Oryctolagus cuniculus: one gene and its partners. The protein of the gene in region 3 purifies or fractionates together with the protein of the main gene of each other region. This does not show direct contact. Links are inferred from orthologs where the notes say so. Each region holds a gene or a part of one and is shown on either strand. Other genes may lie near its edges. The genes, in order: TOP1, ZNF451, TOP2A and CTCF.

What was found.
Region 1: the proteins of TOP2A (region 3) and TOP1 purify together in Homo sapiens (co-immunoprecipitation; 4 studies listed by BioGRID and IntAct, with this or other methods). This does not show direct contact. The link is inferred for Oryctolagus cuniculus from reciprocal best matches to the Homo sapiens genes TOP2A and TOP1.
Region 2: the proteins of TOP2A (region 3) and ZNF451 purify together in Homo sapiens (affinity purification with mass spectrometry; 3 studies listed by BioGRID and IntAct, with this or other methods). This does not show direct contact. The link is inferred for Oryctolagus cuniculus from reciprocal best matches to the Homo sapiens genes TOP2A and ZNF451.
Region 4: the proteins of TOP2A (region 3) and CTCF purify together in Homo sapiens (affinity purification with mass spectrometry; 3 studies listed by BioGRID and IntAct, with this or other methods). This does not show direct contact. The link is inferred for Oryctolagus cuniculus from reciprocal best matches to the Homo sapiens genes TOP2A and CTCF.

Annotation. Positions count from the first base shown.
Region 1 is NC_091442.1:17,812,115-17,818,807, reverse strand, and holds part of TOP1 (DNA topoisomerase 1), read left to right. Parts: intron 1-1,140; coding exon 1,141-1,268; intron 1,269-4,187; coding exon 4,188-4,282; intron 4,283-4,469; coding exon 4,470-4,619; intron 4,620-5,636; coding exon 5,637-5,739; 3' UTR 5,740-6,693. UniProt on the Homo sapiens protein: Releases the supercoiling and torsional tension of DNA introduced during the DNA replication and transcription by transiently cleaving and rejoining one strand of the DNA duplex.
Region 2 is NC_091436.1:112,425,065-112,432,887, reverse strand, and holds part of ZNF451 (E3 SUMO-protein ligase ZNF451), read left to right. Parts: intron 1-1,667; coding exon 1,668-1,811; intron 1,812-3,445; coding exon 3,446-3,576; intron 3,577-4,779; coding exon 4,780-4,966; intron 4,967-7,823. UniProt on the Homo sapiens protein: E3 SUMO-protein ligase; has a preference for SUMO2 and SUMO3 and facilitates UBE2I/UBC9-mediated sumoylation of target proteins. Plays a role in protein SUMO2 modification in response to stress caused by DNA damage and by proteasome inhibitors (in vitro).
Region 3 is NC_091448.1:22,088,599-22,096,421, forward strand, and holds part of TOP2A (DNA topoisomerase 2-alpha), read left to right. Parts: intron 1-1,773; coding exon 1,774-1,865; intron 1,866-1,968; coding exon 1,969-2,133; intron 2,134-2,266; coding exon 2,267-2,350; intron 2,351-3,748; coding exon 3,749-3,931; intron 3,932-5,664; coding exon 5,665-5,755; intron 5,756-7,823. UniProt on the Homo sapiens protein: Key decatenating enzyme that alters DNA topology by binding to two double-stranded DNA molecules, generating a double-stranded break in one of the strands, passing the intact strand through the broken strand, and religating the broken strand.
Region 4 is NC_091449.1:50,876,532-50,883,465, forward strand, and holds part of CTCF (transcriptional repressor CTCF), read left to right. Parts: intron 1-462; coding exon 463-645; intron 646-1,322; coding exon 1,323-1,458; intron 1,459-4,547; coding exon 4,548-4,712; intron 4,713-6,108; coding exon 6,109-6,293; 3' UTR 6,294-6,934.

The DNA of each region.
Region 1 (6,693 bases), on a different chromosome or scaffold from region 3:
TATATTAAGTAAAAGTTTTTAAAAAAAGATTTAATTATTTATTTGAGAGGCAGAGACACAGAGAGAGGTCTTCCATCTACTGGTCCATTCCCCAGGTGGCCGCAATGGCCAGAGCTGTGCTGATCCAAAGCCAGGAGTTTCTTCCTGGTTTCCCATGTGGGTGCAGGGGCCCCAAGACTTGGGACATCTACCATTTTCCTAGGCTATAGCAGAGAGCTGGTTTGGAAGTAGGGCAGCTGGGTCTCGAATTGGCACCCTTATGAAATGCTGGAACTGCAAGCTTGGCTTTACCTACTATACCACAGCACTGGCCCCAGAAATCTGTAAGTTTTAAATAATAATAATATACTGCCTGTGGCTTAGAAATGTAAATCTAAGCTTCCTGTGTCTCATTATCTTTACAAACTTCTTCTGTTCAGATTCCACATTTTCTTCATTTTCTTGTGTGTGGAAGTAAGGAATTAGGCAAGCAGATGAAGAATCTCTGACAAAATACCTTGGGCAAAAAGAAAGATGTAGTTTTCATAATACCCAAAAGACCCAAAATCCTTATGATGGGAAAAAAATCCAGTCTAAACTTAAATAGAAAGTTCTTGCTGTCATTCATAACACATTTGCCTCAGATTTTGACTCTGTCTTGAGTGCAATAACTACCGGTAAAATCTTGGGGAAGACACATTATGTATGTTCTTTTGGCATATAAATTCTTAAAGGTATAAGGACAGAAATCATCATGGGCAGAGAGGGCTTACAGATTCTAAGGATGACTTTCCTTTTCCTCCCCCCCCACCCCCGCCCTCTTTTTTTAAGATTTTATTTATTTATTTGAGAGATAGAGTTACAGATAGAGGGGGAGACAGAGAGAAGGGTCTTCCATCCACTGGTTCACTCCCCACATAGCCGCAACAGCCATAGCTGGGGAGCTTCTTCCGGGTCTCCCACATGAGTGCAGGGGTCCAAGCACTTGGGCCATCTTCCATTGCTTTCCCAGGCTATAGCAGAGAGCTGGATTGGAAGTGGAGCAGCCGGGACTAGAACTGGCACGCATATGGGATGCCAGCACTGTAGGCAGAGGATTAACCTACTGTGCCACAGTGCTGGCCCCAACATATAAACTCTTCATTCTTCTTTTCTTTACAGCGGATGAGAACATCCCAGCAAAGATCCTTTCTTACAACCGTGCCAATAGAGCTGTTGCAATTCTTTGTAACCATCAGAGGGCACCACCCAAAACTTTTGAGAAGTCTATGATGAACTTGCAATCTAAGGTATTTTGGATATGGGGTATTAAAGTGAATGAACCTTGTCTGCTGTCGGCAAACCATCTGCAAATCAGAATTTTTTTTTTAATAGTCTATCCTTTTATGATGCAATATTATCAGGCCAGTTCTGTTCTGAAAGAAAGGTCCATGCTAAAAATAAACAGGTGGAAATATTATAATGGTTATTATCCCTGTCAGGATTCCAAATATCAGGATACCTGTTGTTCAGGAAATCTGATCTATGGATAGAAATTCCACATTGGCCACGTGTTGTTTTCAAAAGCTAACTTTGATGTACCCTCTAATTGCTAATTGTTGCATGAGGAAAATAGTTATAAAGAATTTTCATAGTTCTTGCCACAGCTCAGAAATACAACTATTTCCAAACTAGATTGTTTCAAATAGAAAAGATGATGAAACAATGATATTTAAGTTCTCAGTAGTCCTAGCACAACTATTTTTATTGTTACACGTTCTACATGAATCATATTTTTATTTATAGTTCATCATCAAACATCTGTTGAATACTGGCTGTGTGCCAGACAGAGTTGCTGCCTTAGAGGGAGAGACTGACGTGCAAACAAGGAGATGCTGTTCCTCTTCCGTGTGCCTTTCTCCTCCCTACAACTCTGCCTGGTACTGAGCTTTTAAGCCACTAGGCACTTAACATTTGATAATGAGCATTTCTGTCTTTGCAATAGCTGCATAACTAACCCATCCTAGTTTGCTAACTCACAGTGAGCATTTACAGATATTTCACTGTAGAATAAACACACAGGGTTCCAGAGGAAACCAATTATATCAAATACAGTTACTAAATGTATGTAAAGTCTTGGTTCTGAGTACTGTAAATTTCAAGGTAGTAATGAATATAAATATTAATTCAGGATTTTTGTAACAGTTGTGATATGAAAATATGACATTTATTGGTGGTAATAACAGGTACTACTGATATTATTATAGTTCATTGCCCACATTAATATTTAAGAAGAAATACTAAATTTCAACTAGAGGTTAAGGAAATTACAGTGTGTGTTTTTTTGGTTTTTTTTTGAGCCAAGTTTGTGAAATTTAAAAACTGGTTTTATGGAATGTGACTTGTACATTTTCAGGCTCAGAGTATATTCCTTCTATTTATTTCTCAAAGATAAGTATCCAGAAGTAGTACATCTGGGTCAAAAAACAGATACAGCCTATTTATGCTACAGATGCCATCTGGCTGTCCCAAAGGGCTGTACATGTCCATGATGAAGGAATATACGTGACTAAAAATCCTTGAACCATGTTGGTGGGCAGGGAACTTTATATAGACTGTCCATCCTAGTAGCACCCATTTGCTGCCACTCCATTAGCTGGTGGTCATCTAGTATTGTTTATTCTTTTCATGTTATTCCAAACCAAAAATAAAAACATAAATATTCAAGTGCTATTTACCTAATTCAGGAGACCCTCCCTGGAGCATGAGGAGGCCTTTTGTTGCTCTCATTCTGAAACCACTGTTTGGGCAGCCCAGGCTGCCTGCCAGACGAGCCCTCCAAGCCCAGGAACTCCTGTCCTATGTGCCCACAAAGCAAACACACGCCCCTGTTCTCCAAGTGAATCAATGGATTCTTTGACGCTTTGAGAGAATTTGACACAGCCTGCCAATTTAGCATTCACATAAATGGTTAAAAGATTGTGGTTTGCTGCATTTCTAGCCTGAGAAAAATCTGGCTTGTGGCATCTGTGATGCTTTTGTATTTAGAATCTATTCCCTCAGCTTGGCTTTGGACAACATAGATGTTGGAAGCGAGCCATTCATAGTAAAACATATTTAATGATTCTCTCACAATGATGGCCTCTGTTTTTAGTCATGAGCTGTGTGTGTTTGTGTGTGTGTGTGTCTAATAAACAATTCTAGACTCTGAGCAGTAGGCCAGTGTGTGTGAATCAAGCATGTATTTATTTTCTCTGTGGAGGTTCTGTTGACCTCACAGGTCAGCAAGGTGACTGCAGCTCTGGGGTTCTCCTGTCCCTAGCAGTTTGAGGCCACTGGTTTGGACTCTAGCTTCATGGCATTACCTGCTGTGGTTTCTAAACAAAAACCAAGAACTTAAATTCCAGAAATGCTTCAAGGATTCCAAAAAGCAAGAAAGACTCAAACAACTCTTATCTCTTCCTTTCCACCATATTTGATTTGAGGAAGAAGTGTCAAAAGTTAAATATTTTCATACCTCTTACTTTTGAGTTATAACTTCCCTCCCATCTCATCTCCTTTTCAAAACAGTGCCAGAACCAGGCCATGCTTGTATTGATTTGGGATAGACTGGCCGAGCTGCTTATTTCCTGTGTACCTTTTAATTGCCATATTTTTAGCTTCTTGGATATTCTCTTCAGTGCATTGTTTTTTCTTGAGAAGATGGCAGCTCTGTTGCAGAGTGCTGGTAGAAGCTGAATAGTGAAGTGCTCTTATTATTTGCAAGGATTATGCCTCAGCTTCTTCAAAAATAGCTCCTCCTTGTAGTGAAGCCCAGAAATTGGCACAGGACCCATTTGATAACAGCTGTCATCTCTAGCCCTTCTTATGATGCTCTGTCATTGAAAGATTAGCATCCAAAAATCCTGGTCCCACCAGGCTCTCTTCCTGAGCTTCTGGACTGATGAGGTCCCAGGTTATCAGTTCTCAATCAAGCCCTTTTTCTTGAAGGTTCCCTGGAGAAAATACATGAATAATAAACAGCCACTTAACTCAGCAGTCACTGTGTATTTCCTCTGTACTTTCATGAAGCCACTCTGGGTGTTTTTACCTGGCAAACCACCGAGAAAAAAAGAGCGAGCCTGCCTGCTGGAGATTGCTTCCAGGTTTCATCTTCTGTGATGGAGCCCTTCCCTTTTTCCTTTTTGGCTCACTTCACTCCTAACCTTACTGTGTTCTTCTCTACTCAGATTGATGCCAAGAAGGAACAGCTAGCAGATGCTCGGAGAGACCTAAAAAGCGCAAAGGCTGATGCCAAGGTCATGAAGGATGCTAAGACCAAGAAGTATGTACCTGGTACTGTGCAAAGTTGGGAGGGTTTATTATTAATCAGAGGTCTAGCCCCTCTAGGGACTTCTGGAATTTTCTGTGATTGGATCTTTTGTGGTTTTACTGCCCTGAAATGGCAGTGTATGTGTGTTTCTGTCCAGGAGCCAGGCCTTGTTCTTGATGACTCTGTTTGATTTTTCCAGGGTGGTAGAGTCAAAGAAGAAAGCTGTGCAAAGATTGGAGGAGCAGCTGATGAAGCTGGAAGTCCAGGCTACAGACCGAGAGGAGAATAAACAAATAGCCTTGGGAACCTCCAAACTCAATTATCTGGACCCTAGGATCACAGTGGCTTGGTAAGCATTGTGCATGTCTTGCTCTTCTGCTGACTGAAGATGGCGGAGGGGGTTCTGAGAGCATTGTGGGCTGCCACATGCCATTCTAAGCAACACACTTGTCCTCTGGGGAAACTTCTAACTTCTGCCGTGTACTTGGTGCTCTGGCTGCTAAATCTTGTCTAAATAACATTGGAACATCTTGGATGGTCAATACTGTTAGACCCACTTTGAGTGTATTTATTTTCTATTTTTCTAAGGTGGCTATCATCCTTATGAAATTTTTGGACAGGAATGGAAACTATTAATTTATTTCCTTGAAAGAGTTAGAGAGAGGCAGAGAAAGAGATCTTCCATCTTCTGGTTCATTCCCCAAATGGCTGCAACAGCTGGGGCTGGGCTGACCCGAAGCCAGGAGCCTGGAGCTTTTCTGGGTCTCCCACACGGGTGCTGGGGCCCAAGAACTTGGACCATCTTCTGATGCTTTCCCAGTCCATAACAGAGAGCTGGACTAGAAGTGGAGCAGCCAGAACTTGAACCAGGTCCCATATGGGATGGCAGCACTGCAGGCGGAGACTTTACCCACTGTGCCACAGCGCTGGCTCCAGGAATGGAAATCATTTGCCCTTACTGAAGGAAAAAATAGAAGAGCTTGTCCATCTACACTTTCATAACTTTTCAATGTAATCTTTGCAAGTTGAGGAAGAATGGCAGGAAAAAGTATAGAAATGAGAATACAGATCTGAACAACCTACACAAAAAGGTATAGCAAAGGCTTAAGTTCTCTGTGCCTGCACTCACACCTGTTCTAGGCCAGAGGTTCCACCCAGATTTTTTACCCTTTTTGCTTAGTTTGATGTTACAGGAGAGGTTTAGTTAGCTCTTAAGAGGCAGTATCTATGGTACAGTGGTAAAGAGCCATGCTGGGTTCAAATTTTAGCTCCACTACTTACTAGCTGTGGCACATCTGAACCTATACTTCAAGTCTCGGCCATTGCTCTCTGAATCACACTAATTCCCCTTCTCCTTTGTTTGCAGGTGCAAGAAGTGGGGCATCCCAATTGAGAAAATTTACAATAAAACCCAGCGGGAGAAATTTGCCTGGGCCATCGACATGGCTGATGAGGACTACGAGTTTTAGCCAGTCTGAAAGGGCAGGGTTCTGTGAAAAGGAACAGTGTGGTTTGGGGAAGATGGAAAAACTGTGAGCCTCACTTGCCCTCACACTTGAGGGAGAGAGGCAGCAAGTCTTAACAAACCATCTTTGCGAAAAGATAAACCTGGAGATATTATAAGGGAGAGCTGAGCCAGTTGTCCTATGGACAACTTATTTAAAAAATATTTCAGATATCAAAATTCTAGCTGTATGATTTGTTTTGAATTTTGTTTTTATTTTCAAGAGGGCAAGTGGATGGGAATTTGTCAGCAATCTGCCAGACAAATTCACTGTTTCACTGAAATGTTTGGATTCTCTTAGCTACTGTATGCGAAGTCCGATTATATTGGTGCGTTTTTACAGTTAGGGTTTTGCAATAACTTCTATATTTTAATAGAAATGAATTCCTAAACTCCCTTCCCTCTCCCCTGTTTCAGGAATTAAAATTAAGTAGAACAAAAACCCAGCGCACCTGTTAGAGTTGTCACTCTCTATTGTCATGGGAATCAGTTTTCATTAAACTTGAAGCCGTCGTGACATCGGCAGTGTTTTGGTTCAGACACCTATTCACAGAAAAGCATGATGGGAAAATATTTCCTGACTTGAGTGTTCCTTTTTAAATGTGAATTTTTATTTCTTTTTAATTATTTTAAAATATTTAAACCTTTTTCTTGATCTTAAAGATCGTGTAGATTGGGTTGGGGAGGGATGAAGGGCGAGTGAGTCTAAGGATAATGAAATAATCAGTGACTGAAACCATTTTCCCATCATCCTTTGTTCTGAGCATTCTCTGTACCCTTTAAGATGTCCCATCTTTTTGTTTTTAAACCCCAGTCTTTCACTTGAAAGATTTTATGGTATAAAAAGTTCCACAGGTCAGTAAATTTAGAGGAAAATGAGTATTTGGTCCAAAAAAAAGGAAAAATAATCAAGATTTTA
Region 2 (7,823 bases), on a different chromosome or scaffold from region 3:
AGAGGATGATATTTTAGTCAGTTAATTATTCTGCGGTATATACTTTTTAGGGGTACATAGTCTTACTACTTCACTTTCTAAACATAGTATATGTTGTGTTTAAGTAATGTATTATAGATATTTTCTTTTACAAAAGGAGATTTTGAGAGATGAAGGAAGTTGATAATCTTACTGAAAGTCAGATTTGAAAGTTATTCTGGTCATTATCATCACTTAGATTTTTCTAAAAATCTTACATTGTTCAGATATATTTAAAAATCTTGCAAATATTTAGATATATTAAAAAGATAACCTGATGAATTCTTTTTGTTTCTATTGTCCTTATCTTTAAATATGACAAAAACAGTTTTGGCATTTGTATATATTTCTGTTATGATTTATTTGGAAGCAAAGCTTTTAACAATATAGTTAAAAATAACAATTAAAAGTAGAGTTAAAAGTAGTAGTAAGAAATCATGGGTAAAACAGATTTGAATTCTCTTGTACTTAATCTGATTTTCCTTCTTCCATGTCATAGGTTAATAAGTCTAGAAGAGTGTAATGTTTTAATTTTGTTTAGAAGATAACTGTTTTTTGTTTAGACTATAATTTTAGGTCTGTATCCTTTAAGTAACTTTTAATTCAGTGAGTTATACAATGAACCATTGAATTTATGTAACTTTGCTCATTAGCATATCTGATCTCAGCATCACCTTTAATTAAAGTATGTTTTCAGTGAGAAAGAATTAAGTCATATATGACCCACTCCAAACAGTGGTCACACCATTTTATATTCTCTAATGCATTTTTCAGCTCTTTTGAGTACTTTTGGGAATTTGTGTTAATCTGTTTGACAGAGATTTTGGAATCTCTAAATCTATAATTGCTGAGAACTGGGAGAAAGGATGTAAGGTAGCTTAGAAATGAGAGAGTATATTTGAAGGAACCTCTATTAGGCATAATAGAATCTATTCTTTTTAAAAATAACTTAATCTTTTTAAAGTTTGCACTACTGTGGCTGGAAACTTTTAAGGCCATGTCAAGGTCTAAAAGTATGAAGCAAGGCAAAGAGGAGGGAGAAAGAGTTGGAGAATGAGGGAAGATGAACTGAGATCCTGAGAGAACCAAGATATGTTTATGGTGGGAGATGTTAATGTGCCACTGGCACCTATTTCTAGCACCACTTTATGGCAACAATGTTGTAGGTTTTCTTATTTCTGCTCTCTTGGGTGTTTAATCATAGAGTCAGTCTAGATTAATAAATCAGTATAGATTGGGAAAAAAAAAATTCCGGTGGCAAGAAGTTTCTTAGCAAGTAACCCTGGAATTTTACATTGATGAATGATACAAGTTTTTGGTTATTTAACTTTAAAAATAGATCTTCTAGTTCCTAGAGTACATTAATTTAAAAAAAATTTTCTTTTACAAATGACTACTTAAAAGCTTTAGCATCAATGGCAGATATTTGTAGAAAAGATATATAATCAAAATTCTGAAGTGCTTTCAACATTATCTAAGTGAAAACTATGTCTATACAGATACAGGTAAAATGAAAAGGTTTAAATTGAGATGAATCACTTGTAAGGTTAATAGTTTTTGCCTGTTATGCTAATATTTTTTAGATTTGAGAATTAGAATGTTTATACCAAACTTTTACTGAATTCATGTTAATGTTTCCTTTTTCTCAGAAGAAGAAATTGTTGAGCTTCCAGATTTGGATTACTTGCGAACCATGACTCATATTGTCTTTGTAGATTTTGATAACTGGTCAAACTTCTTTGGTCATCTACCAGGGCATCTTAACCAAGGAACATTTATTTGGGGCTTTCAAGGTATGATTAATAAGAAAAGCCTTTTCCCCTATCACCCTTACAGTATGATTAACTTTAAAAGACTCCTCTTGAACTTTCCTGAATAGATCATAAGACCATAAATAGAATATTGTGACTTTGCAATGTAGTTACTTTCCTAGCATATTCTCTACATGTCTCCATAGTTAACATTAGCTCTATTTTTGTTGACCAATGGTTTGCAGATCTTAAGATATATATTATAAAAGGGTTTATTCAACACCTACACTGGGGCTGGCTTTGGAACAGTTTAAGCTGCTGCCTGCCACACTTATGAGTCCCTGCTGCTCGGTATCTAATTCACCTCCCTACTAATGTGCCTGGAAAAGCAGCAGATGATGGCCCAAGTACTTGGGCTCCTGTCACCCACGTGGGAGACCTAGATGGAGTTCCAGGCCCCTGACTTCATCTTGGCTCATTTGTGCCACTGTAGCCGTTTGGGGAGTGAACTAGCAGATGGAAGATCTTGTCTTCTCCTTCTTTCTCTTTAGCTGTTTTTCAAATAAACAAATAGATGAATAAAAAATTGTTTTTAAAAATATACCTATAGTATTCCAGCACTGTTGCTTGGTACTAACGTGGATATCAATTATCATTTTTTGTCTTTTAAAGTAGAAGAAAGTAAATGACAGTGTTAGATTTAAAACTTTGGCTTCTTAGCTACAGGACCATTAGTATTTTCAACATGCCACAACTGCTTCCACAGTTCATTCTTGCTGTTTGTAGTGTGCAGCTTCATCTAATCCAAATCTTTTTACAAACCATTGATTTACAGAGGTTTAGTATGTGAGTATCTGATATAGTTCATGTGTGATAGGCAGTAGCATGTAAAGAGGAGGATTGGAATTAAAGATAGAAACATACTAATCTAGATAAGATAGCCATTATAATGTTTTAAGTCTAGCTCTGCTGATTTCCTGTGTTTTTATTGACAGAACAGCCTTGGCATAAAATAACAAAATGTTAATGGTTGTTCAAGAATTTTCACACACACATGTGTACCTGCTTGCACACACACAGAAATACACATACACTCTCACACTCATTCCTTTTGATTCTGTTTTGTATCCCCATGAATTTTCAGATGAGAAGGCAGATTCAGGGAAGTTGATCTTTCCCAGGATGATGATTTCTCTGCTAAGACTGAATTCTTCTTCTTCTTCTTTTTTTTTTTTTTGTTTGACAGAGTGGACAGTGAGAGAGAGAGACAGAGAGAAAGGTCTTCCTTTTCCGTTGGTTCACCCTCCAATGGCCGCTGCGGCCGGTGCACCGCGCTGATCTGAAGCCAGGAGCCAGGTGCTTCTCCTGGTCTCCCATGCAGGTGCAGGGCCCAAAAACTTGGGCCATCCTCCACTGCACTCCCGGGCCACAGCGGAGAGTTGAACTGGAAGAGGGGCAGCCGAGACAGAATCCCACACCCCGACTGGGACTAGAACCCGGGGTGCTAGTGCTGCAGGCGGATTAGCCTATTGAGCCGCAGCGCCAGCCTCTCCTACATTTTTATCTAGTACTTTCCCTCTAGAAAGATATTTTTTTAGTTTAAGTTTTCATTTGATACTAGTTTTAGTCTTTTCTTCCTGTTTTACTGTCACTTATGCCTTTTCTAAAACTTACAGGAGGAAACACCAATTGGAAGCCTCCACTCAACTGTAAAATTTATAATTACCTGAACAGAATTGGATGCTTCTTCCTTCATCCTCGCTGTAGTAAAAGAAAAGATGCTGCTGATTTTGCCATATGTATGCATGTGAGTCATTATTTTATTCAAAATCTAATGGGAATCTAAGATGACCTCCTTAAATTTTTTTCCCACTTGAATTGTAATGACAATGTGTAGATCATTCTTTAGTAGTATATTTTTGTAATAAAACATTCTGTATCAGTATTCTACTAGTGAGAACAGGAGCCCATGGCATTTTTCCTTTTTTTTTTTTTTTTTTAAAGATTTTATTTATTTGAAAGCATTACAGAAAGGGAGAGACAGATAAATCTTCCATCTGCTGGTTCAGGCTCCAAATGGCCACAACAGCTGGAGCTGGGCTAATCTGAAGCCAGGAACCAGGAGCCTCCTCTGGGTCCCCTATGTGGCTGCAGGGGCTTGAGGTGTCTTCTGCTGTTTTCCCAGGTGCATTAACAGGGAGCAGGATTGGAAGTGGAGCAGCTGGGACTCAAACTGGTGCCTGTACGGGATGCTGGTGCTACCCGCTACGCTGCTGCACAAGCCCCGCATATTTTTTTTGGCTGCTTTGTCCCCAACTCCTAGCAGACCTTCCACTGACCTTCCACTGTGCATAATAGACTGTCATCTGTGTTAGGAGTAAATAAAAGATAATCTGTGCTGAACGTGTACTGAGACAGTTTTAATTTAACATCTCTGAAATTTAGAGATACTTTCACAGTCACTGCTAATGTTGATGTTTATTTCTGTCTGCCAGTCACATAGAGAAACTGCCAACCCAAGACGTACTTTAAATTAAACTCTCTGCTTGAGAGCTTACATTTGTCACACTGTTAATGTGAATTTACTCTGCAGACTTGTTGACTGCTGCTTATGATTTAAATTGCAAGAGATTTCTTTCCATCTTATCCAGTACCAAGATTGAAGTATGCAAAATATTTTGCTTACTTTTTCCTCTATGGCAGATTTATTTCTTAGTTACACTTACTATGGCTTTCCAGTTTAATGTGGGAGCCCTCCTATGGGAGTTCTATTTTAGGTTTTTCTTTTTTTATTAGTGGCAGATAAAGTAGTTTATTTTATAACTATTGGATGCTTATATGTAATTAAATGTGACATTTCATTAATGAAGGGGTCTTTATATCAAACTCTGTGGGAGGTAGGGAACTAGCTTAATTTGCCTTCTTAGGTATGTGTTCACTATGAAATAGATTTAAGCGATTTGAGACTCATGCTGATTTTTATCAATCTATGCCATTTGTTCCAACTTAGGCTGGCCGTCTAGATGAACAACTACCCAAGCAAATTCCTTTCACCATCCTCTCAGGAGATCAAGGTTTTCTGGAACTAGAGAATCAATTTAAGAAGACTCAGAGGCCAGCTCATATACTAAACCCTCACCACTTAGAGGGAGATATGATGTGTGCCTTGTTAAATAGCATATCTGATACCACCAAAGGTATGCAGCCGCAGTCACAGTGCAAACCGCCCAAGAGGAGGAGACTTCACTGCTGAGAAAAACCAATAAACTGCTGTCCACTAGTAAACAGTTGCCTGCTCACATGCTTCTATCTTACTGGTCTTTTCCTTATCTCGCTTTCATTCTTTAGTGTTTTAGAGGAAAGCTTTTAATGCACAATAATGTTTTGGAGATTTTTTTAAGCTATTAGATAAAATTATATTTATTGGTATATAAAATAGATATTGATGGGTTGAAATATATATTACAATTCAGATTTTATTTTTTTCCTGAAATTCCATTAGTTTTTTAGAAAGCAAAGTCTTTTAGGTGAAAACCAAAAAGTAATAAGTCATAATATAGCAATACCAAGAAAAGAGAAAGACCATTTAAGAGGTTGATAGTGAGAAAGTAAAGTTCTGATAGGCTTTTAGGTTCTTGGAAGGGATGAGTAGCTCCTGTCTTATTACATTGCTGGGACTGGCACTCTCTTTTCCTCTTTTGTGGAATGGGTCCATGAAAAGAATGCTGATGACCAGTTTCACTGACCAGTACTGAAGAAAGGATATAATTCTAGGGATTCATAAGTTTTTGTTTTTCATAATTTCTCAAAGGAATTTGAGCATAAGAGAATATAAGAATAGTTAATTTTTGAATTATTAGTATTTGAAACCACAAATAAATAAGAATGGAAGAAATTGATGAATGACCACAATGAAAAATAGTGGCTACTTTTTGTCATTTTTATTGTTTGCCTTTCACTTTTCCAACTCTGCTTCCCTCCACGCTATTTTTTCTTTCTGTATATTTGGCACCATATTTTGATGGAAGGCCCATTATGAAAAATTTTGCTCTAATCACTTATAATGGATTGATTATCTTGAAATTAGGAGTCAAAGATCTGTTAGCCCAACTGGATTCTTTAAAGGAATGTGCAAGATTATAAAGGAAAATGAGCCTTATATAATACTTATATTTTAATAATGAATGTTACCTTCTAATTCTGTAATTTTTCATCTACTTTTTATTTTGAACTTACTTAAAAAGCTTTCCCCCACCTCACTCTTTTGCCATTCCTTCCCCAAACCTTGGCAACATCTATTTAATATCTTATGAAATACTTAAATGTTTACTTTTATCATACTAGTCTAATATTCTTTTCCTTCTTTTATGCTACTGTTTTGGGGAACATTTCATTTATAAGTTACAGTGTGAAACCTATTATGGCTTGCTTTGTCTCTATTTAAATTCTGTTTGTAAGAAGAGCTGCATATGAGTATGTGTACATGAATATATTAGGGTTTATGATTAAGATACAGGTTATTAATATCTGCTGATCAGCCTTTCTGACTGTCCCTTATGCTATAGGGGTGTGTGTGTGTGTGTGTGTGTGTGTGTGTATGTATGTATGTGTTTAAATCATCCACATTCAGTACTCATATGAACTTAATAAATCATTCACATCCAGTACTCATGTGAACTTATTGCCCTTTTGAGGCACTATATAGTTTATGCTGGATTTTTGTGAAATGCAGAGATCCCAGAGTGCATAAAGAAAGGCATGGTCTTTTGTCAAATGCTAACTTTGCTGCTTCTTAGTTGTGCGGTTACAGGCAAGTTACTTGACTTTTTCTGAGCTTCATTTTCATGTCTATAAGGTTGTAAAAGCATGTTTAGGTACTCAACAAATAGTAGCTATCTTATTATTACCACTATAGAAAATAAATGTGATTCTTAGCCTCTACTTTTTTTTTTCATGTAACAAATAGTTAAAATGAAGTGGCCAGAGAAATCTAGAATTTTTAAATCAAGAGGTTTTTATCTTTTATCTAGTGAATTGTGTAATACTTTTGTAACTAGAATTCAAAGTTAAACTGATTTGTAAGTATGTTCAAATGTAGTTATCTATTGAAGACAGATATTTTTTCTTTATGGAGTATTTACTGTAGACATTAAATTGCCTTATAGTGAACTTTATGGTAAGACGTCAAAGAAAAATCACTTTCTTGGGTAGCTCTTTATTCCACCACTTTTCCTAACAAAGGTATTTGTGGATAGCAGAGTAATAGTTTCTGTTGGAGTATGATATTTAGTATATATTAGAATTTAGAATCTGTTTCTCAGTGTTCACTAATATTTCTAATTGGGCCTTTAGGTAATTTTGGTTGTCAGCAGAATGCCAGGATGTAGCTCTTTATATTTAGTGGACCATAGTGTTCCTATCTAAAGATTTCACAATCATTTTCTTAAGGCAGCATGATTTGGGGATCAGGGGTTAGTGGACCTTTGTGAGAATCTGCTGAAAGCTTTCTGTACCCTCTGCATTGTAAAATAAACATGAATATACAATATTACATACAAAGGTACTTCTAAAAGTTTGGAAGAACAAAATGCACATTTTCCACTTGAAAATAAGCAGACTACTTATATAAAACCAATAATACACACATACATACAGAGGCATTGTCAATTAAAACCTGTGGTGTTATCTCTATAGAGATTAATGTATGATTTTCAGAATACAGGAGAATTTAATTTGTCACCATTTAGTAAGACTTTTTAAAAACCTATTGGAAAGCCGGCGCCGCGGCTTACTAGGCTAATCCTCCGCCTTGCGGCGCCGGCACACCGGGTTCTAGTCCCGGTCGGGGCGCCGGATTCTGTCCCGGTTGCCCCTCTTCCAGGCCAGCTCTCTGCTGTGGCCAGGGAGTGCAGTGGAGGATGGCCCAGGTACTTGGGCCCTGCACACCATGGTGCAGGAGCCAGGAGAAGTACCTGGCTCCTGCCATCGGATCAGCACGGTGCGCCGGCCGCGGCAGCCATTGGAGGGTGAACCAACAGCAAAGGAAGACCTTTC
Region 3 (7,823 bases):
AGAGAGACAGACAAAGGTCTTCCTTCCGTTGATTCACCCCCCAGATGGCTGCTACGGCCAGCGCGCTGCGCCAATCCGAAACCAGGAGCCAGGTGCTTCCTCCTGGTCTCCCATGAGGGTGCAGGGCCCAAGGACTTGGGCCATCCTCCACTGCCTTCCCGGGCCATAGCAGAGAGCTGGACTGGAAGAGGAGCAACCGGTGGAGGATTAGCCAAGTGAGTGCGGCGCCGGCCGGGGAGGGCATTTGACTCTGTAGTGAAGACACCACTTGGGACACTCACATCCCACACTGGAGTACCTGGGTTCAAGTCCTAGCTCCAGCTCTCCATTCCAGCTTCCTGCTGATGTTCACCCTGGGAAGCAGTTGGTGATGGCTCAAGTACTCAGGTGTCTGCTGCCCACATGGGAGATCTAGAATGAGTTTCTTGGCTCCTGGCTTCAGTGTGGCCCAGCCCTGGCTGTTGTGGACATTTAGGAAGGGAACCACTTCATTTCTGCGTCTCTGCCTTTCAAATAAATGCAAGCAAATTTTAAAAATTTTAAGGCCTTAAAAATTTAGAAACAACAAAGTCAGGGTTTAAGTGACCAGGAAGAAAACAGTCTCAACAAGCAAGTCTCAAAATATACTAACACAAGTGACTGATCATCAAAGGCTAATTTTATGATGGTAAATAAAAATATTTAATAGTTATATGTTCATTTTCATGTATAATTAAAGAAATCACACTGGCATTATAGCCCTCTTATTTCACAGATGTTATTGCTTAAGGCATGGCTAAAGTGAGTAATACTGAATATGATTTGAAGAAAAAAGTTTATACTCAGTGACTGGAATTCAGGAAATACTAGCAACTGTCCAGTCTTCCTGATAAGTGAATATTAGAGGGCCTAAAGTTGTAATCTATGTCAAATTAACTAACAAAAGGTGGTACTCCAAAACTCATACTCTAGCTGGTAACTCCCAGTATACCTTCAAGTGTAATAAATAGACTACAGAAGACATTGAAAGAGAAGTATTACAGAAAAAAGGAGCAAATACATCCTGGAGAACCATGGTTAAGAGAAATCAGCATTTGGTTGGGTGGTACTAAAACTTGCCTGGTCAAGTTTTAAAATAAAAACCAAAGGGTATAATTGAGATAGAGTCTTATCAGAAATAGAGGTTTTGTTCTCTTCTGATCTTACAAGTTATTAGAACTTGACCTCATGTGATTTGACTGCCCCCTTGTGGTAATTTCCATTTGTCAATGAATTAGGAAGACTTGTCTATTATATCAGGATATGCAAATATATACAAGACAATATAGCTTAATTTCCAGTTTTACTCTTTTGGCTTAGTGTAGTAAAAAAAATTTTTTTAAGATTTACGTATTTGAGATGCAGAGTTACAGACAGAGAGGTCTTCCATCTGCTGGTTCACTCCCCAAATGGCCACAACAGCTAGAGCTGAGCTGATCTGATCTGATCAGAAGCCAGGAGCCAAGAGCTTCATTTGGGTCTTCCACGTAGGTGGCAGGGACCCAAGCACTTGGGCCATCTTCTACTGCTTTCCCAGGCCATTAGCAGGGAGCTGGATCTGAAGTAGAGCAGCTGGGACTTGAACCGGCACCCATGTGGGATGCCGACACTGCAGGCAGAGATTTAACCTACTATGCCATGGCGCCAGCCAACGTAGTGAAATCTTGTCTGTTTTCTGAAATATTGCTGAAAACCATTATCTTCCGCTGTCATGGAAAAACTTTTTTTTCATTATCTTTGTTTATATTTTAATAGAAAATAAGCCTAAGAAAGAATTAATTAAAGTTCTGATTCAGAGAGGATATGATTCGGATCCTGTGAAGGCCTGGAAAGAAGCCCAGCAAAAGGTACTTTCTTGCTTAGCACTTGGTTTCATATATCATTAAAGACTTTGTATAATGTTTATGTTTTACCTTTCTTATTAAACCTACCTTTTGATTCATACTTTAGGTCCCAGATGAAGAAGAAAATGAAGAGAGTGACACTGAAAAGGAAACTGAAAAAAGTGACTCTGTAACAGATTCTGGGCCAACCTTCAACTACCTGCTTGATATGCCCCTTTGGTATCTAACCAAGGAAAAGAAAGATGAGCTGTGCAGACAAAGAAACGAAAAAGTAAGTTGTTGATAGGACATGGATGTTGCATATTACTTAATTTTGCTCTAATATTAAGACTAAAGCTTGTGTGCTGCATGAAAATCTATTTTTGTACATATATATTAACTCAGTTTCCTGATTATTTATAAAGGAGCAAGAGCTGGAAACATTAAAGAGAAAGGGCCCATCAGATTTGTGGAAAGAAGACCTGGCTGCTTTTATTGAAGAACTGGAGGTATGTGGTTTATAATGCCCATGTTAAAATGTTTATTAATGAAATCATGTAGTCTAATAATATACTCCCTTAACAAGAAGTTACACAGTTAGCAATAGAAAGAATATAAAGGATATAAGGACACATTATAAATAATATATAAGAGAACAAATTATTAAATAAAGTCAATGTGCTGGGAACCCGGTTTTTAGACAGAGAGAGGAAAGGACGGAGTTGGTTTTTGATAAAGGGAAGGATCTGCTGCAGCTAAGAAGAGCAAGACAGCAGGAACGTGGGGACAAGCTGCGGCCTCCTGGTCAGCGTGAGGACAAGGCCAGCTCGTCTTCTGGGCTCACCAGGTAGACAGCCTCATAAGATCCTTTGCTACAGTTTTATAAACTTAATGCACATGTTTATGCATAAGCTTTAGTGTAAATAACCAAATCATTGTAGTCAGTGGACTGGATAAGTGCATATTACTGATATCACATCCTTTCTTATATTTGCATTTACAGATACATGTATATGTTCTATCCTTAACTCAGTTTCCCCCTTTTACCCTCAGAAAGGTTGAGTGGCAGAATCAGGAAAATAATCCAATCTGTCCCTACACTTTTCAAAGTGACCATTAATCATATCTTTACTACTGTGGTATGGGTTTTTTGGTATAGAGAGAGTTACCCTGTTCTCTGGTTCATTCCCCAAATGCCTACAAGGGCTAGGGTTGGGCCAGGCTGGAGCCAAGAACTGGAAGCACAGCCCAGCTCTCCCACACAGGTGGCAGGGATCCAACTAGCTGAGCCATCAGCAGGCCTTTCTGCACTAGCAGCAAGCTGCAGTCAGGAACCAAACCTAGGCATGCGTGGTGTGGGGCGTGGGCTCTTTACCACCGGGCTGAATGCCTGCTTCTTATCTCCACTGTGCTTGATGTTATTCTTAGTTGTTAAACAGATTACCACAAATTTATCTTAAGATATAACAAATTGAGGCCGGCGCCGTGGCTCTGTAGGTTAATCCTCCGCCTAGCGGCGCCAGCACCCCAGGTTCTAGTCCTGGTCGGGGCACCGGATTCTGTCCCGGTTGCCCCTCTTCCAGGCCAGCTCTCTGCTGTGGCCCAGGAGTGCAGTGGAGGATGGCCCAGGTGCTTGGGCCCTGCACCCCATGGGAGACCAGGAGAAGCACCTGGCTCCTGCCTTCAGATCAGCGCGGTGTGCCGGCCGCAGCAGCCGTTGGAAGGTGAACCAACAGCAAAGGAAGACCTTTCTCTCTGTCTCTCTCTCTCTCACTGTCCACTCTGCCTGTCAAAAAAAAAAAAAAAAAAAAAAAAAAAGATACAACAAATTGAAATCAGTATAACCTGATACCTTTTAGATAATTGTGATGTCTTAGCTTATAATCTTACTTATATCCCTTTGGTAGGCTGTTGAAGCCAAGGAAAAACAAGATGAGCAAGTAGGACTTCCTGGGAAAGGGGGGAAAGCAAAAGGGAAAAAAACACAAATGGCTGAAGTTTTGCCTTCTCCACGGGGAAAAAGAGTCATTCCTCGAGTGACCACGGAGATGAAGGCAGAAGCAGAAAAGAAAATCAAAAGGAAAATTAAGGTAAACTCTTGAATGTTAAATATAAACTAAGTATATTTTTGCTTAAAGTTGAACAAATTATATTATTAAATTTCTAACCCCCATCGTTTAGAATTTACTATACATCTAAACCATAACTTTCCTTTCTTATTGTGCCTGGTTGTTGTTTATAAGAACCAACTCTGTGTGTGTGTGTGTGTGTGTGTGTGTGTTTAATTTGTTTATTTATTTATTTATTTGAGAGTCAGAGTTACACAGAGAGAAAAGGAGAGGCAGAGAGAGAGAGGTCTTCCATCCGCAGGTTCACTCCCCAGTTGGCTTCAACGGCTGGAGCTTCGTCGATCCGAAGCCAGGAGCCAGGATCTTCTTCCAGGTCTCCCACATGGGTGCAGGGGCCCAAGCACTTGGGCCATCTTCTATTGCTTTCCCAGGCCATCGCAGAGAGCTGGATCAGAAGTGGAGCAGCTGGACTCAAACCGGCACCCATATGGAATGCCAGCACTGCAGTGGTGGCTTTACCCAATACACCACAGCACTGGCCCCCCAACTGTTTTTGTTTCTTTTTTTTTTTTTTTTAAAGATTGATTTGTTTATTTGAAAGGCAAAGTTACAGAGAGAAAGAGAGAGAGATTCCATCGGTTGGTTCACTCCCCAGATGGCCATAAGTCAGGAGCCTGGAACTCCATCCAGGTCTCCCACATGTGGTAGGGAATGAATACTTGGGCCATCTTCCACTGCCTTCCCAGGCACGTTACCTAGGAACTGGATTGGAAGCAGTTCACATGGCATACCAGCGTCCCAAGTAAGCAGTTTAACTCCTTGCACCACAACACTGGTCCCCTGTATTTTATTTTTAATTTATTTGAAAGATAAGGAGAGACAGAGACAGAGATCTTCCATCCATTGGTTCACTCCCCAAATGCCCACAATGGCTGGGGCCAAGCCAGAAGCTGGGAGTCCAAAACTCAAGTCTCCCACATGGGTGGACAGGAACCCAACTACTTGAGCCATCACTTGCTACCTCCCAAGGTACACATTAATTAGCAGGAAGCTGGATCAAAAGTGGAGGAGCTAGGACTCAAACCAGGCACTCCCAATATGCAATCAAGGTGTCCCAAGCAGCATCTTAAACAAAACACTGCCCCATGATTGCTTTTATTTTCATGTTTAAGAATCATGAAAAACTCACACCTATACATTTATTCAGAGCTTTTAACCAAAACCCAAGGTAAACAATAGCCTTTGGTCAAATAAAGGAGCTCCAAAAACTAGAAAATGGAATTTAAAATATTGCAAATCAGGGGCCAGTACTGTGGCATAGCAGGTAAAGCCACTGCCTGAAGTGCTGGCATCCCATATGGATGCCAGTTTGAGTCCCAGCTGCTCTACTTCCGATCCAGCTTCCTGCTATGGCCTGGGAAAGCAGTAGAAGATGGCCCAAGTCTTTGGGCCCCTGCACCCTCGTGGGAGACACAGAAGAAGCTCCTAGCTCCTGGGTTCAGATCGGCACAGCTCCAGCCGTTATGGCCATTTGGGGAGTGAACCAGCAGATGGCAAAGCTCTCTCTCTCTCTCTGCCTCTGCCTCTCTGTAACTCTGCCTTTCAAAAAATAAAAATAAAGTCTTTTAAAAAAATATTGCAAAATTTCCATGGACCTATGTGAAGCTCCTCTGCAAATATATATATATATGTATTTGATATATAGTATTCTAAATAATAAGGTGACAGAACTTAACTGGTTTTTACTATCTTAGAGTGAAAATACTGAAGGAAGCCCTAAGGAAGATGGTACAGAACTAGAAGACTTAAAACAAAGATTAGAGAAGAAACAGAAAAGAGAACCAGGTATAATAAATAACATTTAGGGAAAATGGTATAAAGTTAAGATTAAATTGTGTTTGTTGTCTAGTAAATGCACATAAATGTTCAAAATGCTTTTGTTGAGTTGAATTACTAACTTGAAGGAAAGCTATGTCTGACGTATACTTGAATTTTCCTTATATATTGACCTTTGGATTTGATTCATATTAGAAGAGATCATTTTGGAATGAAATAGTTTAACATTGTAATTTGAATTCCTTAGTTGGGAATCTAAGAAAACAATGATATGCCACTTACTGGCCAATTTCAAGATTCTAGTATATAAATCTTTGAGAAGAAAGATTCACATACCAATTTCACCCATTTTAGGTGTACCACTCACTTTTTTTTAGCAGAGCCAAAGAATTTCATAACAACTTATTACCCTAAAAAGAAGCACTGTATCCATTAACAGTACTCATTATTTCCCAAAACACCCTCTCCCACTAAGCAACCATTAAAAAAAAATCTGACTCTAGATATACCTATTCTGGATGTTTTCTAGAAACAAAATCAGATGATACGTGGTCTTTTGTGACTGACTTCACTCAGTTGACAAGTTTACAAGGGTCATCCATGTGTTAACATATATCAGTTTTTTTGTTTAGTTTTGTTTTTTAAGGTACAGAGAGAGAGCTCCCGTTCATTAGTTGACTCCATCACTACCCAGGGCTGCTGTTAGGAGCTGAGAACTCCGTCTCAGTCTCCCACTAGGTGACAAGAAGTACCTGTCTGCACTATCGCCACTACCTCCCTGGGTCCACAGTGGCCTAAAGCCTACCATTCTTTCTTTTTTGATTGCCAAATAGTATCTGGCAACATTTGGGACTAGAGGTATTTCATATTCCAGAGTTTTTCATATTTTGGAATATTTGCAGGTTTTTTTGCTTAAGTATCTATTATCTGAAATGCTCCAAAACCTAATTTTTTTAGGTTTTTCCTACCCTTTTTTGACCAATATTTTACTTTTTTTATTAGAAGTGTGTGTGTGTGTTTGTGTTTTAAAGATTTATTTATTTGTTGGAAAGGCAGACTTACAGAGAGGCAGAAGTAGAGAGAGAGAGGTCTGAGAGACAGTAGGAGAATTAGACAGATAAATACTACCCAAATGCCTGCAAGGGCCAGGACCAAAGCCGGGAGCCAGAAATTCAAAGGCCTCCCATGTGCCTGGCAGAGTTTACGTGAACCATCACCATTGCCTCTCAGGCTATACTGACTGGCAAGAAGCTAGAGTTAGGAGTTGCAGCCAGGATTAGAACCCACATATTCTGTTACAGTATGTGGGCATCTTAACTGCTTGGCTAAAGAAACACCTAGTCCTAGAAACCTGAAATTTTTGAGTGTGTTCAGAAACCTTCAGATTCTCAAGCATTTTAAATTTCAATTTTTTAAAAAAGATTTATTTATTTGAAAGGGTATCAGAAAGAGGCAGAGACAGAAAGATCTTCCATCTGTTATTTGTTGGTTCACTTCCCAAATAGCTATGGCTGAGCCAAGCCAAAGCCAAGATCCAAGGACTCCATCCAGGTCTCCCATGAGGGTACAGGGGTCCAAATATGGACCATCCTCCACTGCTTTCCCAGGCATGTTAGCAGGAAGCTGGATCAGAAGCAGAACAGCCGGGACCCCAACATGGGATTCAGCACTGGAGGTTGCAGCTTAATCCACTGTGCCATGATGCTGGTCCCTAAATTTCAAATTTGCAGATTAGAGGTCATCAACATTAATTACTTATCTGTCCATCAGTTAATGGGTATTTGGGTTGCTTCCACTTTTCTGGCTACTGCGAGTAATGATACTTTGAATATTCATATACAGGTATATGTGTGGATTTCTGTTTTCTTTGGGTAGATACTTAGAATTTTTGAATTACATGATTATTCTGTTTGGACTTTTGAGGAACTGTTGGATGGACTGTTTCCCAGAGCAGCTGTGCCATTTCACATTCCCCCAGCAGTATCTGACTTTCCAGTTCCTTCCTGTCCTCACCAGCACTTGTGGTCATCTTTCTCTTTGATCTTAGTCATTCTAGTGGGTGGAAAGTATGGTTTGG
Region 4 (6,934 bases), on a different chromosome or scaffold from region 3:
GAGCTGTTTTTAAAGATAGTATTCTCAAGCCATGTCTTATGAGGAATGTCACCAAAACCAAAGGTCACACTCCTTGTCAATTTTATGTATCATCCCAGTCTCCAGCCGATGTCTTATTCAGTTACAGCTTACCTTTCCATAAGACAGACTGCCAAGTTCTTTCTCAGAACCGGGAATTAAGTCCAGGCCTTGAGACAGAGAAGAATCTGGTCCTGGAGCCTGATGCTTAGGAGAGGAATTAGAGAAGCAGTCTCACAGGCGTAAGCATCTTTAACTGTGCTAGGATTGAGGGAAGCAGTTTTGCACACCAATAAAGATAACTTTACCATCTCAGCAAGCAGTGTGGAGTCTAGACCCTTGGGTGAGAAAGGCCTGGAGGCAGCGTCCTCGCACACAGCACTGAAGCGCCTGCCCTGTGACTCCACACTCTCAGGCCTTTCCCTTCTCCTGCTTGTGTTTCAGGAGAGGCACATGATCATGCACAAGCGCACCCACACTGGGGAGAAGCCTTACGCTTGCAGCCACTGCGACAAGACCTTCCGCCAGAAACAGCTCCTCGACATGCACTTCAAACGCTATCATGACCCCAACTTTGTCCCTGCAGCCTTCGTCTGTTCTAAATGTGGGAAAACATTTACACGTCGGGTAAGAGAAGAGTTTCAGGGCCAATATTGTGGTACAGCAGATTAAGCCAGCACCTGCCATGCTGGCGTCCTATGTAAGTGTGGGTTCAAGTTCCAACTGCTTCACTTCCGATCCAGCTCCCTGCTAATGTGCCTGGGAAAGCATTGGAAAATAGCTCAAGTGCTTGGGCACCTGCCACCCATGTGGGAGACCCCAGTGGAGTGGCAGGATCCTGACTTCACCCTGGCATAGCCCCAGCTGTTGAGGCCATTTGGGGCCAGACATTCTTGTCTTGAGGCTTTCTGCCCATGTGTGGGCACTTCACAGATGGGAAACGCAGTGTCCTGAATAATGGGTGTGCTGGTATGAGGGCATTTCCTTAGGTGCATGAAACTTGTCCCGCATTCACCCCTAGCTAGCTTTAGTGTGCCTTGTGTCCGCCCCTGGGGTCATGTGATTAGTCACACCTGCCAGGACAGGAACTGATCTCATGCCCCACTGTCCTGTCTGTCTACAAGCTGCTGAGTCTCCCCTTACAGGACCCAACCTCATCTTCATCCATTCTCTCTCTCTTGCTTTTTCTGTTTCTCTCAGAACTGACAGGAATAGTATGATACCCCAAATTTAACTGAAAAAGAACTTCCAGTCTGATCTAAGCTTTTTTAGTAGTGTGAAAGAGGATTTTGTTCCTTTTGTAGAATACCATGGCAAGGCATGCTGATAATTGTGCTGGTCCAGATGGTGTAGAAGGGGAGAATGGAGGAGAAACAAAGAAGAGTAAACGTGGAAGAAAAAGAAAGATGCGCTCTAAAAAAGAAGATTCCTCTGACAGTGGTAAGTGACTTATTAATTGATTTGGTTCCATTTTATTTGACTGATTGTGAAGCCCAGTTTCCAATAGATTTACATATGGCTACATCATCATGTAGAGGTGGACAAATCACACTTACTTCCTCTAAACTTTTGTTCTTCCCAATACAACAGCAGTTAGTATTTTGAGGGGACAAATTTTCATTTGTTTTTTCCTTACCGCATTTCAGGGCTTATTGATGTCTTACATGCTATGTTCAATTAAACCCAAAGTGAAACTAATAAATATTCAGTTTACTCCGGTCAATATTCTAAGATCAGCAGAGTTTTCTATGCTCATGACTTTTATATTTGCAAAGCTGGTCTAGATTTGAGCAGTGAATTTAATGTAGGACATGAAAAAGGGAGCTTAAGATTCTTAACTTTTCCTTTGCCTGCCTTTGGCAGCCAGGTCTTGAGATGGTGTTGATCAAGTTAGTGAAAGTCAAGCTTTCACTTCTACTTCAGTCTCCCCATTTGTAAGTTAAAACCTTGTCTATTCACCTACCATTGGTGCTTTTGGGGGTGTTTCGTGCCTTTCTGGGCCTAAAAATCCAGGCAGGAGGTGTGCTTAGAAGAACATACTTTGGTTCAGGACTTTGTGTCTCTTTATGTCCCCAGAAAATGGAAGTGTGGACTGGATCCCACTGCTGACAAGGGCCACTCCATCTTATTTGTCCTGTCCCAAAGCTGTGCCTCTTGGCCATCTGCAGAGACTGATCAGCAGTCTACTGCTGTGTTCACAGCCTTCTGCCAGAATCTCACCAAGTTAATAATAAGCCTTCAAACCAGTTAACTTTTGTGTGCTTTCTTCTGCTTATTATTAACTTGGTGAGATTCTGGCAGAAGGCTGTGAACACAGCAGTAGACTGCTGATCAGTCTCTGCAGATGGCCAAGAGGCTTGCGGGAGACCCTGAGGAAGCTCTAGGCTCCTGCTTTGGCCTGGCCCAGCCCCAGCCATTGTAGCCATTTGGAGAGTGAGTGAATCAGCAAATGGAAGATCTTTCTCTCTCTGTGTATGTGTGTTTGTTTCTTTCTGCCTCCATAACTGCCTTTCAAATTAAAAAAAAAAAAAAAAAAAGTTGATGCTGCAGAAATTACCCAAGGAAACTGAGTGTCAGGGTGGTCATGTGTCTCTTACGTAGCTCCTTGTCCGTATTTTTCCTGTAGTAGTTTCTTCACTTTTATTTACCATTTATTTCACCAAGAGTAGGGTATAGGGAGAATCTAATGGAGATAAGAATGGCCTGTTGTGTCTGGTACATCTGGGGATTAAATTAAGTCTTGAATATGTGGCCTTTAAAGAAAATTACCAATAATCCCCCAAAGAACTCTGGCCACTCAATCTAGTAAATAAGTCCTCACAATGCATCAAGAATTTCTGTTTGGCACAGCCATTAGACACCACTGGGGTCACCCACGTCCCATATTGGAGAATCTGGTTCCAGCTCCAGCTCTGGATCCTGTCCAGCTTCCTGCTGATGTAGACCCTGGGAATCAGCAGATAGCGTCTCGAGTACCTGAGTCTGTGCCTACCTGTGGGAGACCCAAGTGAAATCCTAGGCTCCTGGTTCCAGCCTGACCTAGCTCTGGCTGTTGAATGAACAGATGGAAGATCTACCTATCTATATATCTATCCCTCTATCTCTCTTTCACTTTGCTTTCCAAATAAATAAAACTTTTTAAAAAATATTTATTTTATTAATTTGAAAGAGTTACAGAGAGGTAGAGACAGAGAGAGGTCTTCCATCCGCTGGTTCATTCCCCAGTTGGCCGCAACAGCAGGAGCTGCGCCAGTCTGAAGCCAGGAGCTTCTTCTGGGTCTCCCACGTGGGTGCAGGGGCCCAAGGACTTGGGCCATCTTCTACTGCTTTCCCAGGCCATTGCAGAGAGCTGGATCAGAGGAGGAGCAGCAGGGCCTAGAACCAGCGCCCATATGGGATGCTGGCACTTCAGGCCAGGGCTTTAACCCACTGTGCCACAGCGCTGGCCCCAATAAATGTTTTTAAATTAAAGAATTTCTGAGGCCAGCATTGTGGCATAGCCAAATAAGCCATAGCCTGCAATGCTGGCTTCCCATATGGATGCCAGTTTGAGTCCCAGATGCTCAACTTACAATCCAGCTCTCTGCTAATGCACCTGGGAAAGCAAGTGGAAGATGGCCCAAGTGCCTGAACCCTTGCACCTACATGAGAGACCCAGATGATGCTTCTGCCTTCTGCCTGCCCCAGCCTGAGCCATTGTAGCCATTTGGGCAGTAAACCAGCAGATGGAAGATCTCTTGCTCTGTAACTCTGCCTTTCAAATAAATGAAATAAATCTTTAAAAAAATTTTTTTATCTTGCCCCCAGATACACAGTCTTTCCCCTGCTCAGATGAGGGGACCACATCTGCACGGGTTCCTCAGGCTCAGGAGGAACAGGGTCCTGTTTTATGTTGCTGTGGGAGACAGGGGACATTTGTTTCATTTTTAATTTCAACATGGTTTTTGTAGTATAGTTATGTAACTGATATAAGATTGGGTTGCCTGTAACAATTTAAAACTCCATATTCTGAGGTCTAAATCTAAAAGGGATCACTCGTTTACTTCCCACTACAGTGGCCTGGGGCTGGGCCAGGCTGAAGCCAGGGACCTCAGGCCATTGTCCACTGCTTTGCCAGACACATTAGCAGGGAGCTGGATTGGAAATGGGGTGGCCAGGACTTGAACCTGCATTCATATGGGATGCTGGCGTCGTAGGCACCAGCTTAATCTGCTGTACCACAACACTGGCCATCAGTTCACTGCTTTAATGTTTATAGCAAAACTTCCAGCAAAAGCTTTTTAAATGGTCTTTTCTTAACAGAAATACATAAAACATGTCCCTAAAAAGTTCATGAAATTGTTTGACAAAACATTGCGTGGATTTCAGAATTTTTTGTACCAAAGTAGACTTAAATCTTTTAATTCCATTCACTTACGAACTTTTTGAAGTACCCCCATAACAAGACTCCACAGAGTATATAATTTTGTGGTGGTTGTTGTTCCCCACTCTTCTCCCTGCCCTACCATCTGTGCTTCCTGTTTCATGAGAAGAAAACGCTGAGCCAGATCTGGATGACAATGAGGACGAGGAGGAACCTGCTGTAGAAATTGAACCCGAGCCAGAGCCTCAGCCTGTGACCCCAGCCCCACCACCCGCCAAGAAGCGGAGAGGACGGCCCCCTGGCAGAACCAACCAGCCCAAACAGAACCAGCGTAAGTTTCCAGTTTCCATTTGGCAGGCTGGCACCTTCCCCCCAGCATGTGAGGGTGCCAGACGGGGCCTTGTTTCTTTGAGGGGATGGGAACGGAGCCACGAGAACAAGTTATTAGGTCACAGTGGGAACAGATTCTTCAGGAAGTGATTCGTTAGGTGTTTTTACTGAGGAAGTTCAGAGGCCTGTTACATCTCAAGGAGGAAGAGTCCAGAGTAAAGGGTACTCGTGTTCTCCAAGGTGGGTGTTGCTGTTGTGGGTGGGTTTTAGAAGACCACAGTCACAGTCTGCTGGCAGAATTGCTCCAGTGCTGAACCGTAAAAGAGCCAGTCACAGAGGATGAGGTGCACGCAGTTTCTGTGCTAGGATCGCCCCTCCTGCAGAGGGGCGTGTGAATCCAGGTGTGTTCGGGCACTGGCCTCCAGCTCACCTCACAGGTGACGGCAGTCTATAGGGGATCACAGGTTGCATTCTGCTAGCCACATGGCTCTCTTGACAGTTGGAACAGCTTCTGAAAGCTGACCATTTTTTATAAACAAATGGATGTTTTAATCTATTTTTTAAAGATGTATTTATTTATTTGAAAGAGTTAGAGGGGTCTTCCATCCGATGTTTCACTCCCCAATTGGCCGCAATGGCAGGAGCTGCACCGATCCGAAGCCAGGAGCCAGGAGCTTCTTCTGGGTCTCCCACGTGGGTGCAGGGGCCCAAGCACTTGGGCCATCTTCTACTGCTTTCCCAGGCCATAGCAGAGAGCTGGATCAGAAGTGGAGCTGCTTGGTCTCGAACTGGTGCCTATATGGGATGCCAGTGCTTCAGGCCAGGGCGTTAACCTACTGCGCCACAGCACCAGCCCCTTAATTATTTTTTGAATGTTCTCCCTGAGCTCCAAGAATAGAGTTCTGTCAGAGAAAAGGAGGTTAAGTGCAGATCTTAGAAGCAGCTCTCCGGTTTCTTCTGCACACACTGGAGTGAGCAGACAGGTGGGAGGGCCTGGGTGTGGGAGAACTACAGAATCAGAAATGTCCGCTTGTCGTAGGTGTGTCACCTACGTCACACACTCTTCAAGTAGCCTTAGTCACATGCTGTCTCATTTCTTGCCTGCATCTCATAGTATCAATTTCTGACTTAAAACTAAGGATTTTTACGTGTAACTTGGGAGGCGTGTGAACGTGAATGTCAGCCTTTTGTGCTCTGATGGTTTTCAGAGAACTGGGACTCTGTGTGTCCATGTTCTGGGTCTCTCTAAGTCTCTGCTTTATTGACTTTCTCCGTGTCACTACTAAGGCTCCCTGTATGTTGCTATCCCGTGGACTGCACTGTGTAACAGGGTCTTGTACTCCTGGGGGCTTTAATGTACCTTTTGTTTTGTTTTGTTTTGTGCTCCTCTTTGCCAGCAACAGCCATCATCCAAGTTGAAGACCAGAATACAGGTGCAATTGAGAACATTATAGTGGAGGTAAAAAAAGAGCCAGACGCCGAACCCACGGAGGGTGAGGAGGAGGAGGCCCAGCCAGCTGCCACAGATGCCCCCAACGGCGACCTCACGCCTGAGATGATCCTCAGCATGATGGACCGGTGATGGTGGGGCCTTGCTGGGCGCCGGGACTGCTCTGGGCTGTGTTTAAACGGCCCACATCTTAATTTTTTTCCCTTTTTTCTTCTTTTGGCTTTGGGAAAAGCATCATTTTTACACCATTTTACCAAACAAACTGAGAACGAAAACTTCAAGGATGATGTTAGAAAAATGTGATTTAACTAGAACTTGCTGTTTGATGTTAACAAATCATGGAATGTCTGAGTCCCTGCGGGTTTACTGTGAAGTGCTGAGGGCAGTGTTGACGCCTGACTGGTTTCTGAGACGGAAACAGAGACATTGGCCCCTCTCTCTCAATACGGTAAACCACTCCAGAATGGCTGCCGGGTTTCCCAGAGTTCTCTGGTCTTCTTCCCAAGAGAGTTTTTAATTGTAAATGCAGACTTGGGGAGGCCTTAGACTTTTAACCTGTTTTTTGCTTTTGCTTTTTCTCTGACTCCTTGCTCGAGTCAGCTGCACACCAGTAGTACGGCATGCTACGATCGGTTACTGTCCTGAACGCTTTGCCTCTTTCTTGGCAGAGTTTCTGGTATGGTCAAGCTTGTAAATAACTTTTTTTACATTTTAATCTTTTCCATTAATTAAGAGGTTGAAAAGAAGTGCAGTGTGAGAAAACCCAGCATTTT